Linked DNA regions of Astyanax mexicanus. The protein of the gene in region 2 purifies or fractionates together with the protein of the main gene of each other region. This does not show direct contact. Links are inferred from orthologs where the notes say so. Each region holds a gene or a part of one and is shown on either strand. Other genes may lie near its edges.

What was found.
Region 1: the proteins of marchf6 (region 2) and sqlea purify together in Homo sapiens (affinity purification with western blotting; 4 studies listed by BioGRID and IntAct, with this or other methods). This does not show direct contact. The link is inferred for Astyanax mexicanus from reciprocal best matches to the Homo sapiens genes MARCHF6 and SQLE.
Region 3: the proteins of marchf6 (region 2) and plin2 purify together in Homo sapiens (affinity purification with western blotting; 3 studies listed by BioGRID). This does not show direct contact. The link is inferred for Astyanax mexicanus from reciprocal best matches to the Homo sapiens genes MARCHF6 and PLIN2.

Annotation. Positions count from the first base shown.
Region 1 is NC_064408.1:112,537,624-112,541,379, reverse strand, and holds the start of sqlea (squalene monooxygenase), read right to left. Parts: upstream 2,216-3,756; 5' UTR 1,925-2,215; coding exon 1,676-1,924; intron 485-1,675; coding exon 223-484; intron 1-222. UniProt on the Homo sapiens protein: Catalyzes the stereospecific oxidation of squalene to (S)-2,3-epoxysqualene, and is considered to be a rate-limiting enzyme in steroid biosynthesis.
Region 2 is NC_064415.1:39,741,872-39,745,627, reverse strand, and holds the start of marchf6 (E3 ubiquitin-protein ligase MARCH6), read right to left. Parts: upstream 2,840-3,756; 5' UTR 2,583-2,839; coding exon 2,564-2,582; intron 627-2,563; coding exon 527-626; intron 1-526. UniProt on the Homo sapiens protein: Endoplasmic reticulum membrane-associated E3 ubiquitin ligase that plays a critical role in mitigating endoplasmic reticulum stress, the regulation of cholesterol and lipid homeostasis, and ferroptosis.
Region 3 is NC_064415.1:28,201,684-28,205,439, forward strand, and holds the start of plin2 (perilipin-2), read right to left. Parts: upstream 2,384-3,756; 5' UTR 2,275-2,383; intron 2,110-2,274; 5' UTR 2,101-2,109; coding exon 2,074-2,100; intron 880-2,073; coding exon 684-879; intron 558-683; coding exon 475-557; intron 54-474; coding exon 1-53. UniProt on the Homo sapiens protein: Structural component of lipid droplets, which is required for the formation and maintenance of lipid storage droplets.

The DNA.
Region 1 (3,756 bases), on a different chromosome or scaffold from region 2:
GGCAGTGGAACTATGTTCTCTGGAATTATGGTGCTTCATTCAATACTTTTGAATGGGATGAGTTGAGGGAGTTGGAGGTGAGGGGGGGTGGTAAATATTCAACATCCTGACCCCAAACAAATTACTGAGTAGGTGTCCCAAGACTTTTGTCCATATTTTATATATAAGGATTGAGAGTAACAGCGTGAACTTTGTTCTGTAAGTGTAAACTGAGCCCCTCACCCTCCAGCCCCAGCTCTCTGAGGGTCCGGAAGCCGCCGGGCTGTAGCAGTTCCCCCACGATCCTGTCCGGCTCCCGCAGGTCCCTCTCCACCACAGTGACCCTCCGCCCGTCCCGCGCCAACACCGCCCCCATCGCTGCCCCCAGAACACCTGCACCCACTATGATCACCTCCGGCCCCTCACTGCAGGGGTCCACTGAGGAGCCAGGGTCCGAGTTCAGACAGCTCTTCACTTCTGCTCTCCTCCTCCTCCTCACTCCTTTCTAATCAGTGATAGAAAAAGAAAGGAGGAGCAGTGAAAATAAAGGAAGGAAGGCAGGAAGGAAGGAAGGAAGGAAGGAAGGAAGGAAGGAAGGAAGAAAGGAAGGAAGGAATGATTAATATAATGAAGAGAAAAAGGAAGATAAGAAGGAAGTAATGAAGGAAAAAAGAAGTAAGATAAGATAGAAGAAAGGAAGGAAGTAAAATAAAAAGGAAGTAATGAAGGAAAAAAGAAGGAAGATAAAAGGGGAGAAAGAAAGGAAGTAAGAAAGAAAGAAAAGAAGAAAGGAAGTAATAGAGGAAGAAAAAGAAGGAAAATAAGAAGGAAGTAATGAGGTTTAAAAAAGGCAGTAAGAAAAGAAGGATGTAATAACAGAGTAATCAAATTCAATTCAATTCAATCAAATACATTAAAGAAAACAGAGGAAAGGAAAGAAGAAAGAAACAAAACAAGGAAGAAAGGAAGGAAGGAAAAGAGGAATCAAAGAAAGGAAGGAAGTGATGGACAAAAGGGAGGAAGGAGAAAAGCAAGCATGAGAAGACAAAACATGAGAAGTAAATGAAAGAAAGTAAAGAAAAGACAGGATGAAAAAAAGGAAAAGCAGAGGAAGAGGGAAAATGAAGGAAAAGGGGTGAATATATGAAAGAGATAAAGAGGGAGGAATAAAAACAAAAAGAAAGTGAGCGCAGGAGCAAGTGAAACAGCGAGAGAGTGAACAAGTGAGAAAGAAAAGAAAGTAAAAAAAGAGAAAGAAAGAAAACAGAGAGGAAATATAAGAGAATGAAATAAGGGAATGAAAGAAAAGAAAACATAACGAGAGAAAGTAAACCGAGTATGAGAGAGAAAGAGAGAGAGAGAACAAGAAAGAAAGCATGGAGTAAAAAAAGAAAAGTGAGTGAAAGAGACTTTTATTTTGTACATCAACTTTTATTCCCTGAACGTTAACAGAAGTAATACAGTCAGTGTGAAATAACTTCAGCAGATTAAAGTAATTAATTATTAATCATCTGTATTATATCATCATATTCACACACTGATCACCTGTACACCTCACTGTATTACACTGTATTACATAAAGATGGTAAAATAATACAATAGTGATGTAATAATAGTACAATAGTAATATAAATATAATAATAAGGATCAGTATGAAGATGAACAGTAAGTTATTATAATAATTATTATTATTTACCTGTTTGCTGTTGTCAGGTGTGTGTTTCCGGCTGCAGGTGTCTGATCTGCTGAAGATCTTGCTGGTCACAGGTAAGGCTGAGAGAAGCTCCAGGGCGAGCTGGGAGATCTGGGGGGCTTTCCTGAGGGTCAGCACAGTGCTGACAGCGAGCAGACCCAGCAGAAGCAGCACCAGCAGCCCATTATTCACAATAAAATCACACTTCTTATACACGTAGGTGAAACTCGCTACACCCAGAAACGTCCACATGATCCTGACTATGATTTAAAAATAATAATAAGCTCTGAAATAATACTAATAAGAGGATAATCCTAATAAAATACAAAATATTATATATATAAAAGAGTTTCCAACTACAAAATACAAAATAATACAGCTTCAAATAAAGTTTCACCAGTAAAAAAAAAGCCTTAAACTAAAAATAAAGTTTTTAAAAAAGTTTTTAAGCTACTTTTTTAAACTTTTTCATTAAAAAAATAGTATTTAAAAAAAAAAAGCATAAACAGGTCCGCGGTGTTCAGCAGGAGCAGAAGCTCATCCGAGCCGCCGAGGATGCTGAATAATTTATGCTAATATCGAACGCCTCCATTGGCCGTTTGTATGCGCTGCAGTTCCGCCTCCTCGGCTCGAATTCCACCAATCAGCGGCGAGGACGCGGTGAGCAGAGCTCACGCTATCTGGCCATTGGCCAATCGCCGGCACCTGGTTGGGGGACAGACAGCAGCAGCAGTAGTATGATGTGATGTCACTGAAAGAGGACGATTTTCCTCACAGCTCCACAAACTCACACCTTTATTACACTTTATACTCTCAGAAGTATATACAGAAATATATATATATATATATATATATATATATATATATATATATATATATATATATATATATATATATATATATATATATATATATATATAAGAGCTGTTCCACTGAATAAGTTCCATTTCTGTCCCCAGGAAATTACATGTATAAATGTGCACACAAAATAACTTTAAAATACTTTTATTATTAGGCATTATTAAGTCTTGTGCACTGACCTTATTGCAAAAGTAAAATACGGAATTAAAAACATTAATAAAAACAATTTAGGACACTAAAAAAATCATAAACTTTACCATGAAATATAATTATTAAAAATTCTTCAGAGAGAGTCCAAATCCTATCTTTGCTTTAAAAATATATATTTTTTTCATAATAAATACATAATAAATTTTTTTAGTTGTGTCACTGGGTTTCACTCAGTCCTCTTACCATAACTCCTTCTGAAACATCTGGAACATTCTACAAGTCACATCTACAACAGGAAGTGACATCAGCTGGTTCGTCTTAAGACCAAAATAAAGTTCCCTCATTAATTTTTCTGTATATTTGATTTTATTGTAGTTATGACAGAGGATGTCAATCTCAACACTGTTACCTGTTACCTAAATTAATTATTAGATCTTATTTGTTTATTTTTAAAATACAAATTTTGGGAAAATCACTAGAATGTGCTCAGTGTCCTCATGCTGTTAGCATAGCCGCCATTTAGCTATTTTTCATGTTTTTCATGCAAATTCTATGCTAATAACTCAATCCTGTTACTTTAATTCCTGTTACTCAAAAGCATAAAAAAACAGGAATGAGTGTCAGTAACAGGAGTGAGTTCCAGTAACAGGAATAAGTGGCATTAAAGGGAGTGATTTTTTTGTCATAAATATAAATTATTTGAACATGCTGTCAACTTTTTTTTTTAAATAAAGACTTAAAATAGAGAAAAACAATACACAGTTCCAGATCATTTATTTATTTTCTACATTGTAGGTTAATATTGAAGATATCAAAACAATTAAAGGGACACATATGAAATTATATAATAAACAGTAAAAAAAAAAATGTGTTTGTCCGCCAAAGAAAAAGAAAGACAAACTTCAATATCTACATTAACAGGTATATATTGTAGACTTGTTATTTGCTATATTGCTTTAATTATACAAGATTGACATCAATATTGGTCCATTTCTCTAAACTGTATATGCATAGTGCTTTTCATATTATTGCTCTCTGTTAAAATTATAATCTACATAATCTATTTTTTTTAT
Region 2 (3,756 bases):
ATTAAGTACGCCAGCCGTCAGTTTTCTTTTTTTTCTTTTTACATTGCTTTATAATATTTTTTTAATTATAACACAAAGATTTTGTCAAAATCTCTAGCGCTCTAGAGAAGTTTATAGAGGCCTTTCGTTGTTATGTCTCAAAACAGACACAAATCAGAGGCATTGTGTGAAAGGGTCGTAAGCAACCAATGTTAAACTGACCTTTTTTTTTTGTTTGTTTTTTTATTCTAAATTGTTGATAAAAAAAATATGCTCTTGCTACATCATTAAAGCAAGCATTACTGCTTGAGAACACATTTAAAGCCCGATCTGGTTGTTCAGCTTAATGTTATATTTATTATGACGGAATATTAAATTAGGAAGATTTTCTTCTGAAACTTTACACTTAAGACAAGCTTTTAAAGTTCGGCACCTGACTATAATGTGTCTGTGTCCTGAAAAGGCCTAAATATAGGTCAGTTTGGCACAGAAAACCAGTAATAGGACTGGATGCTCTGTGTGGAATGTGAGAAAAACTGGCACTTACCATTCTTGATGAATGAATTTAATACTTCCAGTGCAGACACAGGGGTGGTAGAGGGGTTTGTCTAGAGTTCCCTCAGACCGACACACTCTACATATGTCAGCTGCAAAAAATAAAAAAATAAAAATAATTAATATAATTAATAATAATAATTAATAATAACTAATAATTAGTATCAGCAGGTCTACAACTTTTTTGCTGCAAAGTAACAAAACATACTGAACATGTCCGTTCATTTTTAAGGTATTAATTATGCAGGTCACAATAATTACATTATCAGCTCATCCTTTAATATATGGACATGACGTTAATCGTTTCTGCTGTCCTCCATATTGCCCATTTTTTGTTGCCAAGGATATAAATGATGGGTGTAATTGCATTGTTAGGCTATAATATCATTGTATAAATTGGTAGCATAACAATATCTTAAAATAACAATTAAATCATTCACCTCAATAATTTCCAGAACAATCTATTGTTAAAAAAAAATGTCATCTTAACATTAATCATTGTGGACATGATTGTCATGGCAACATTGTGGTTATAATAATTTAATGGATGTATTTTTTCTGGCTCTGAAAAAAATAAGAGCCCACTTTAAAAAAATATGCGTTTCTTTTTTTTTATTTCACAATTTTGAAAACCTCTGGAATAAAACCAGGAGAAAGACAGATGATAACAAGCAATCAAACCAAGCTGAACTGCTGGAATATTTGCACCAGGAGTGCAGGCATAAAGTTATTCAAAAGGAGTGTGAAAGACTGGCGGAGGAGAACATGCCAAGATGCATGAAAACTGTTATCATAAACCAGTTATTCCACCATATTGATTTCTGAACTCTTAAAACTAAACTTGTTTTCTTTGCATTATTTAAGGTCTGAAAATATTTCAACATCTTTTTCTTATTTCTGTCATTTCTCTTTTTTTTGCAAATAAATGGCAATATATATTTTATTTGGAATTTAGGAGAAATGTTGTCTGTAGTTTATAGAATACAACATGCTCATTTTACTCAAACATAAACCTATGAATAGCAAAAACAGAGAAACTGATTCAGAAACTGAAATTGTCTCTTGTTTTTTTCCAGAGCTGTGTTACTTAGAAAATTCATGAGTTAAAATGACTGAGTTATTACTACTGTACGAATTGTACACATACACATACACACACAAGTCTCCATTGGCTATTTGGGGTTAAATAGCCACAACAACTGCCAAATGTTTTTTTTTTTGTGTGTTTTATGAAAAACATTTGTTATTTTAGGAATGTTTCGATTCGCAAGTGTGTGTTAAAAGCGAATGTTTTGATCCCCAGTAAATGCTAGTTAGCTAACCCTAGTCCACATAATTCTGTTGTGCTACACCTGACACTACTTACTGAACTGTGAGTAATATACTCAACGTTTTCCAGTCATCGCTGCAGATTTCAGCGATTTTGAGGAACCAGAAATATACGTTAGCTAAGCTAACTAGCTTGTAAGTTAGCAGTGGTGGTAAAATAAAACTGCTGTGCTGAACCATTTAGTGCTTAACTAACCCACTTTCTGAGAAACCTCCAGAAAACAGAGCTCACCCGACTGACTCTAACAGTGCTAAAAGCTAGCTAACAGTCAATACACACTATAAATTGAATACCTCACTGCGTTAGCTTAGCTAACCTTGTTAGCTAACCAGTCTGTTTTAAAGAAAAACACAGCTCAAATATCAGTGCGGGGGTCTTTGTTGACTGAGTTCAGGGCGATGACATGTTTACTAGCAAAGCAAAGCTAGCATTAGCTAAGTAGCTAAATAGCTAGCGTTACGGTTCACAGCGCAGGGCCACATAGTCCAGTCTAACTTGGAAGCTATAAAGCTAGCATTAGCCAACCCAGCTAACCCAGCTACAGCTAACTAACAGCAGCCCGGCCTGAACGGCGGTGTTTGCGCCCCGTACTTCGGATCCATATTGAAACCCAGGCTAACCGCTCACATTAAACAGCCGTGCCCAGAGCCCGTCTAATTTTAGAGCCCAGTTAAAGCCCGTTAAAGGTCCGGAGCTTACCCTCTTCTCCAGTGTCCATCTTGTCGCTGGTCGTGACGCACTGTCCTCTTTACAGTCCGCTCATAACCCCGATCCGCTACAGCTGGAAAACAACAACAGCTTCCTAACGCCTCACCAACACACACATCTCCAGACCAGCCGCACACCGGACACCAGCTCCGCACACCGGACACAACCGCTCAGTTTAGTGTTAGCTAACTAACCCCCTTCAGACGCCCACAAAACCTGTGCTCGGTAAAATGTCAGTGAACTACATCTCCCATCAACCCCTGGAGCACAGCTCAGCACTGTTTCCGGCAGGACAGCGCACGAGGACAGAGGCTACGACAGATACTACACTCTGTGATGGATTACGGGTGTTTAATAGTGAACTATATAGGGGCTAGACTTTACCTCACTTTTGAAATCATTTAGAAAAATAAGAAATGTAAAAACTGTAAGAAGAACTGTAGGAATTTATAATGAGCTGTCACTGACCTTTTGTTAATGTATCCTATTTTTTTTTTTTTTTATTTAGGCCAATTGTGCTCTCTCAGGGCCCCTGCAGCCGATGGCAAGCTGCATGAATAGGATTCGAACCAGTGATCTCCCGATCAGAGTGGAAGAGCAGTTTTTTCCCATTGCATTGGAATTAGCTGTTACTTTGCCCCAATGACTCTAGTACTACTGGTTTTCCAGTAGTAGGCAGGCCAAGTTACTGTTTCATTGGTTTATAAACGTGTTCCTTGGTTGGCATGGTCTTTTCCTTTGAACAACTCTCAAACAGTGTTATGTTTTTTATAAAAAAAGAAAATACATGATGTCCATTGTAATGGATGCAGGGTGTGAAAGGGTTAATTGTGGATGTTTAAACTCCTGCTCATTGCAGAGAAAATACTACATTTCTAAAATGTTACAAAATGCCAATCAGATAAAAGTGAAAGCCTTGTGTGTTACTTATTTTATGTATTTTTATTTGCTTATAAGAAGTGATTATCTATGTTCTACTAACCTTTGGGATTTGTATTATTTGGGAGTTGTACTATTTTTACAGAATGTATTACAAAATAAAATAAATGAATGAATTTATTAATAAAAAATGTGCGCTTGTGTGCTCTGTGGGCGTGGCCAATGTGATGTCACTCTAAAATCCCTAAAAGACTTCCTGGGTAGGATACTTTGGTGTATTCTCTGTTGGAAAAAGCTGCAGGGAG
Region 3 (3,756 bases), about 12 Mb from region 2:
CCAGTCACTTTTTCCTTGGCACCAGTCACTACTTCTTTAGCATTAGCGACGAGCTACAGAAGTAAAGAAAAGGTTTATGAAGGTTCATGGACATGAAGAAAATCTCTGCAACATTGTAAAGAACATGGCAACTAGGCATGCTTTTCATATATGACTAGTATGACTAATTTTTTATACTTTTACTTCAAACTACTATTCTACTATTCTGTAACTACTATAAATTATTTTGTGTTATGTAAAACCGAAAAACTGAAAAGTGGCCATTAGGCAGGAATTAGGTAGGAATGTAAGGACATCACCTACAACACCTGCATTCCTATCAATCTACAAATTATTCTAGAGCTGTTAGGGAGTAAAAGGATGAACTGGTAATGAAAAAGAGGAGGGCATAGAACAGATCTCTGAGAACTGTTAAAGGGCAAATCATTTGTTGTTTCAGTCTGAGTCATTACTGGGTGATGAACCCTAGCTCACCTGCTCAGAAGGTTGGTGAAGAATTGGAAGCGTCTTCTCTATCTTGTCAAGACCCTTACAGGCCAGGTCATTAGCCAGGGAGACTAAAGAAGATAAATACAAAAAATTCTAGTTAAATTACAGTGTTTTTGTTACACTAAATGAATATAATAAACTATTATTATTTGTTATTTTGAATTACTATGAATCAGTCCAGTCACACTACTTACTGTGAGGTTCCAGCTTGCCAATAATTGGTAAGGCACTGGTCAGGGCAGCTGAAGTGAGAGTTTTCACACTCATCTCTGCAGCCTCGCACACAGACTTGATGTATGGATGGTTGTCTTTGGTGTTGCAGTACATGCTTGAGACCATGCCGTAGGTGGAGCTCACCAGGGGCAGCTTGGCCACTCGAATGACCACATTCTGAAAATTGTGAAAGGTTAATCATTACCATTTGCATCATAGAGGTCTACGTCATGTCATATGCAATGGTACGGCTGTGCAAATTCTGTCTTGTTCCAGAACACAATCCAGGGCATCTGGCATTAGATTGATTTATATCTGTTATATTTAAAGAACAGAAACTATACACAAGAGAAAATCCACACCAAGAGGATCAAAAACAGCTAAACATTCATCAATGTTTCAGAACCAAAGGATAATATATTTTTAAACAAAAACTAAAAATGTTTTGATCAATTTTCCAAAATTCAAAGTATCCGTATACCTGAATATACTAGTAGGGCTGAGATATAATACTAAAACACTACAAAAAAATACAATGCCAAAGTAAAATTATTTATTTGTAACACCGAAAGAACAGACTGTTGTATATTTAAATAGTAAATATCTAACTGTAGATTTAATATGGATGATTTTTAATATGCACTGGATTGCCTGTGTTGTCTGAAATAGTGAAATAAAGTTACTTTGCTGCTACATTTAATTACAATGTTTCAACTGCATATTTTGCACAAGACTGTACTCTGCTGTACTCTGTTAAGTGTCATCAATCCAAAAACTAACCTATTGCCATACAGGTAAACCTTTAAATCACACTTAGAGAGTAACATGTAATTGTAAAAAATATTTGTCTCAATATTATTTAATTATATGAGTGATTCTCGATTAAGATTTAGATCTTTAGTTGTTACAAAACAACTTAATTTTTTTTATTTAATTTTCTTTTTTTTGTACGAATAGTAAGCATACCATTTCAACCCTACAGCAGTTTTTATATTAAACACAGTTTGGGAAATATGTAAAATATGAAAACTCTTGCTTAATAAAATAGTTCTTTACAGGTTTCAGGGATGCAAAGGTCTTTCTACTGAGGTAATTGTAAAAGCTAAATTATATTACAGAATGGCCTTTTTTGTTCTAAAACAGTTTGATATATATCAATATTTTCAATATTTTGTCTAGCCTAAATTAATATAGTAGTAAACATTAACACAGGGGCGTTTTACGCTAATCAAATAAGATCATATGGGAGAAGAACAGACTATTCTGAAGGTTATATAGTTACTAACTTTAATAAACTAGTTTTAGTCATTAAAAGTCTTGTTTTTGTATTTTGTGGGACAAGAACGATTTTTAGAAGGCATTTCTACACACCTGGTTTGTTATTTCCATTGGAGCCATGTCTTCTCACTGAAGAAGAAAAAGAAATGGGCAAAATGTCACGTCTACATGCTCTTCAGTTCAGTTCTTCATCCATTTAAAGTCATAAAGGGACATGAAGAATCTTACAGCAGTATTAATGAAAAAACAAATAGGAGAAAAGGAAAGAACTAAAAAAAACAAGCTTAATCTCACCTGTAAATCTGTGGGTTTAGTCTACTGGCCAAAGGCAGTCTTCAGGAGTCCTCTGAGGAGTGGTAACTCGCACTCTTTCAGAATGAGGGAGTTCTCTCGCCTTTATATCCTCCCACTACATGTTGTGGCACCTGACCATTAAAAAAAACAGAAAAAGTAGTACAAAGGTCGCGAGCACGTCAGCGGGTCTTTCTCTCAGCACAACGAACCGGCGCGCGCGGCCGCTGCGATGGTGTGACGTCAAGCTCAGAACCGAAGCTGGGCTTTTTTTTGTTTAGTTCAAAAGTTTAATCTGAGGGAGCTGATTTACACCTGATTTAAACTCTTACAGACTCACTGTTCACATTCATTCACACACACCTCCAACCAGTCAGTACTCTTATCCCTCTATGGCATTAAATATAATTTTTTTAAGACGAAAAGAGTGTACATATCATTCTATTGGACATAGATATACCCTTGTAACATTATATAAAGATTACAAATAAATAAATAAGGTATGGTATGGTGTAATAACCAAAAATGTGCTTAGGGTTAATAAGCAAGCAAAAGTAAGAGAAACAGAAACCAGTTCTGACAGAAAAATTTGATCTAGTAGAGAAATAAAGCCCACAAAATGGTCAAGTAGTAGCCTAAGTGTACAAATGATTAAAGAAAGACATTTTACACAATACATATCGGATATTTGCCAGAATGTATAGTAAAATGAATAAGTAATGTTCTATCTTGAAAACTGAATTTGAGTTGAAGTTTAAGTGTGCTGCCTGTATGTGATGTGTAACGTTTCTGTAACCCGTCTGACTCACTATTGAGCAATTTCCTTTATGGATGACCCACAATAACATGTAGGTAAAAGTTCAGACAGGATAGTGACACTTGAAAACAGTGGTGAGAATAAGGACGTGAGGTCTGTCTGCCATATTATAAGCACTAATTTTATTTGAAAATATTTGTTTATTGATTTAGTTGAAATCTGGTGTGGCTTATTTTCCCACCAAGCATTGGTTACACGAGTTAACAATACCATTAGTTTGGCTAATGTTGTAAAGTTTATGAATGCTTGTGTCTTTGTTTTAAATATTATTGTAAGTAGAAACAGTGTAAAGGCATAACTGGTATAATGTAGGAGTCTTGGTTCAAAAAAGAACCTCTTGCTAACGGAATTAAGCTGTTCCACCTTAATTAGCCTTGCAGTTATGGCACACTATGTCCAGCTGTATATGTGAACCGTTAACAGCTGCAACATTTGCAGCACACTGACTGAACAGCCTTATTTAGCATTATTCCCGTGGCATTGCTACCATGCCCACCACCGGCCTCATTTAGCATTGTATTAGCATCACTAGTGCAGCACTAGCCTTGTCAAGCATTGCTATGGCACCTTTAGAATCGCTGCTGTGCCCCGCTAATTTCCTCGCTAGCAACAATATAGTAATACTGCATTCACATGCCTATATAGTGGTACAGTTCTCCAGAATGAAA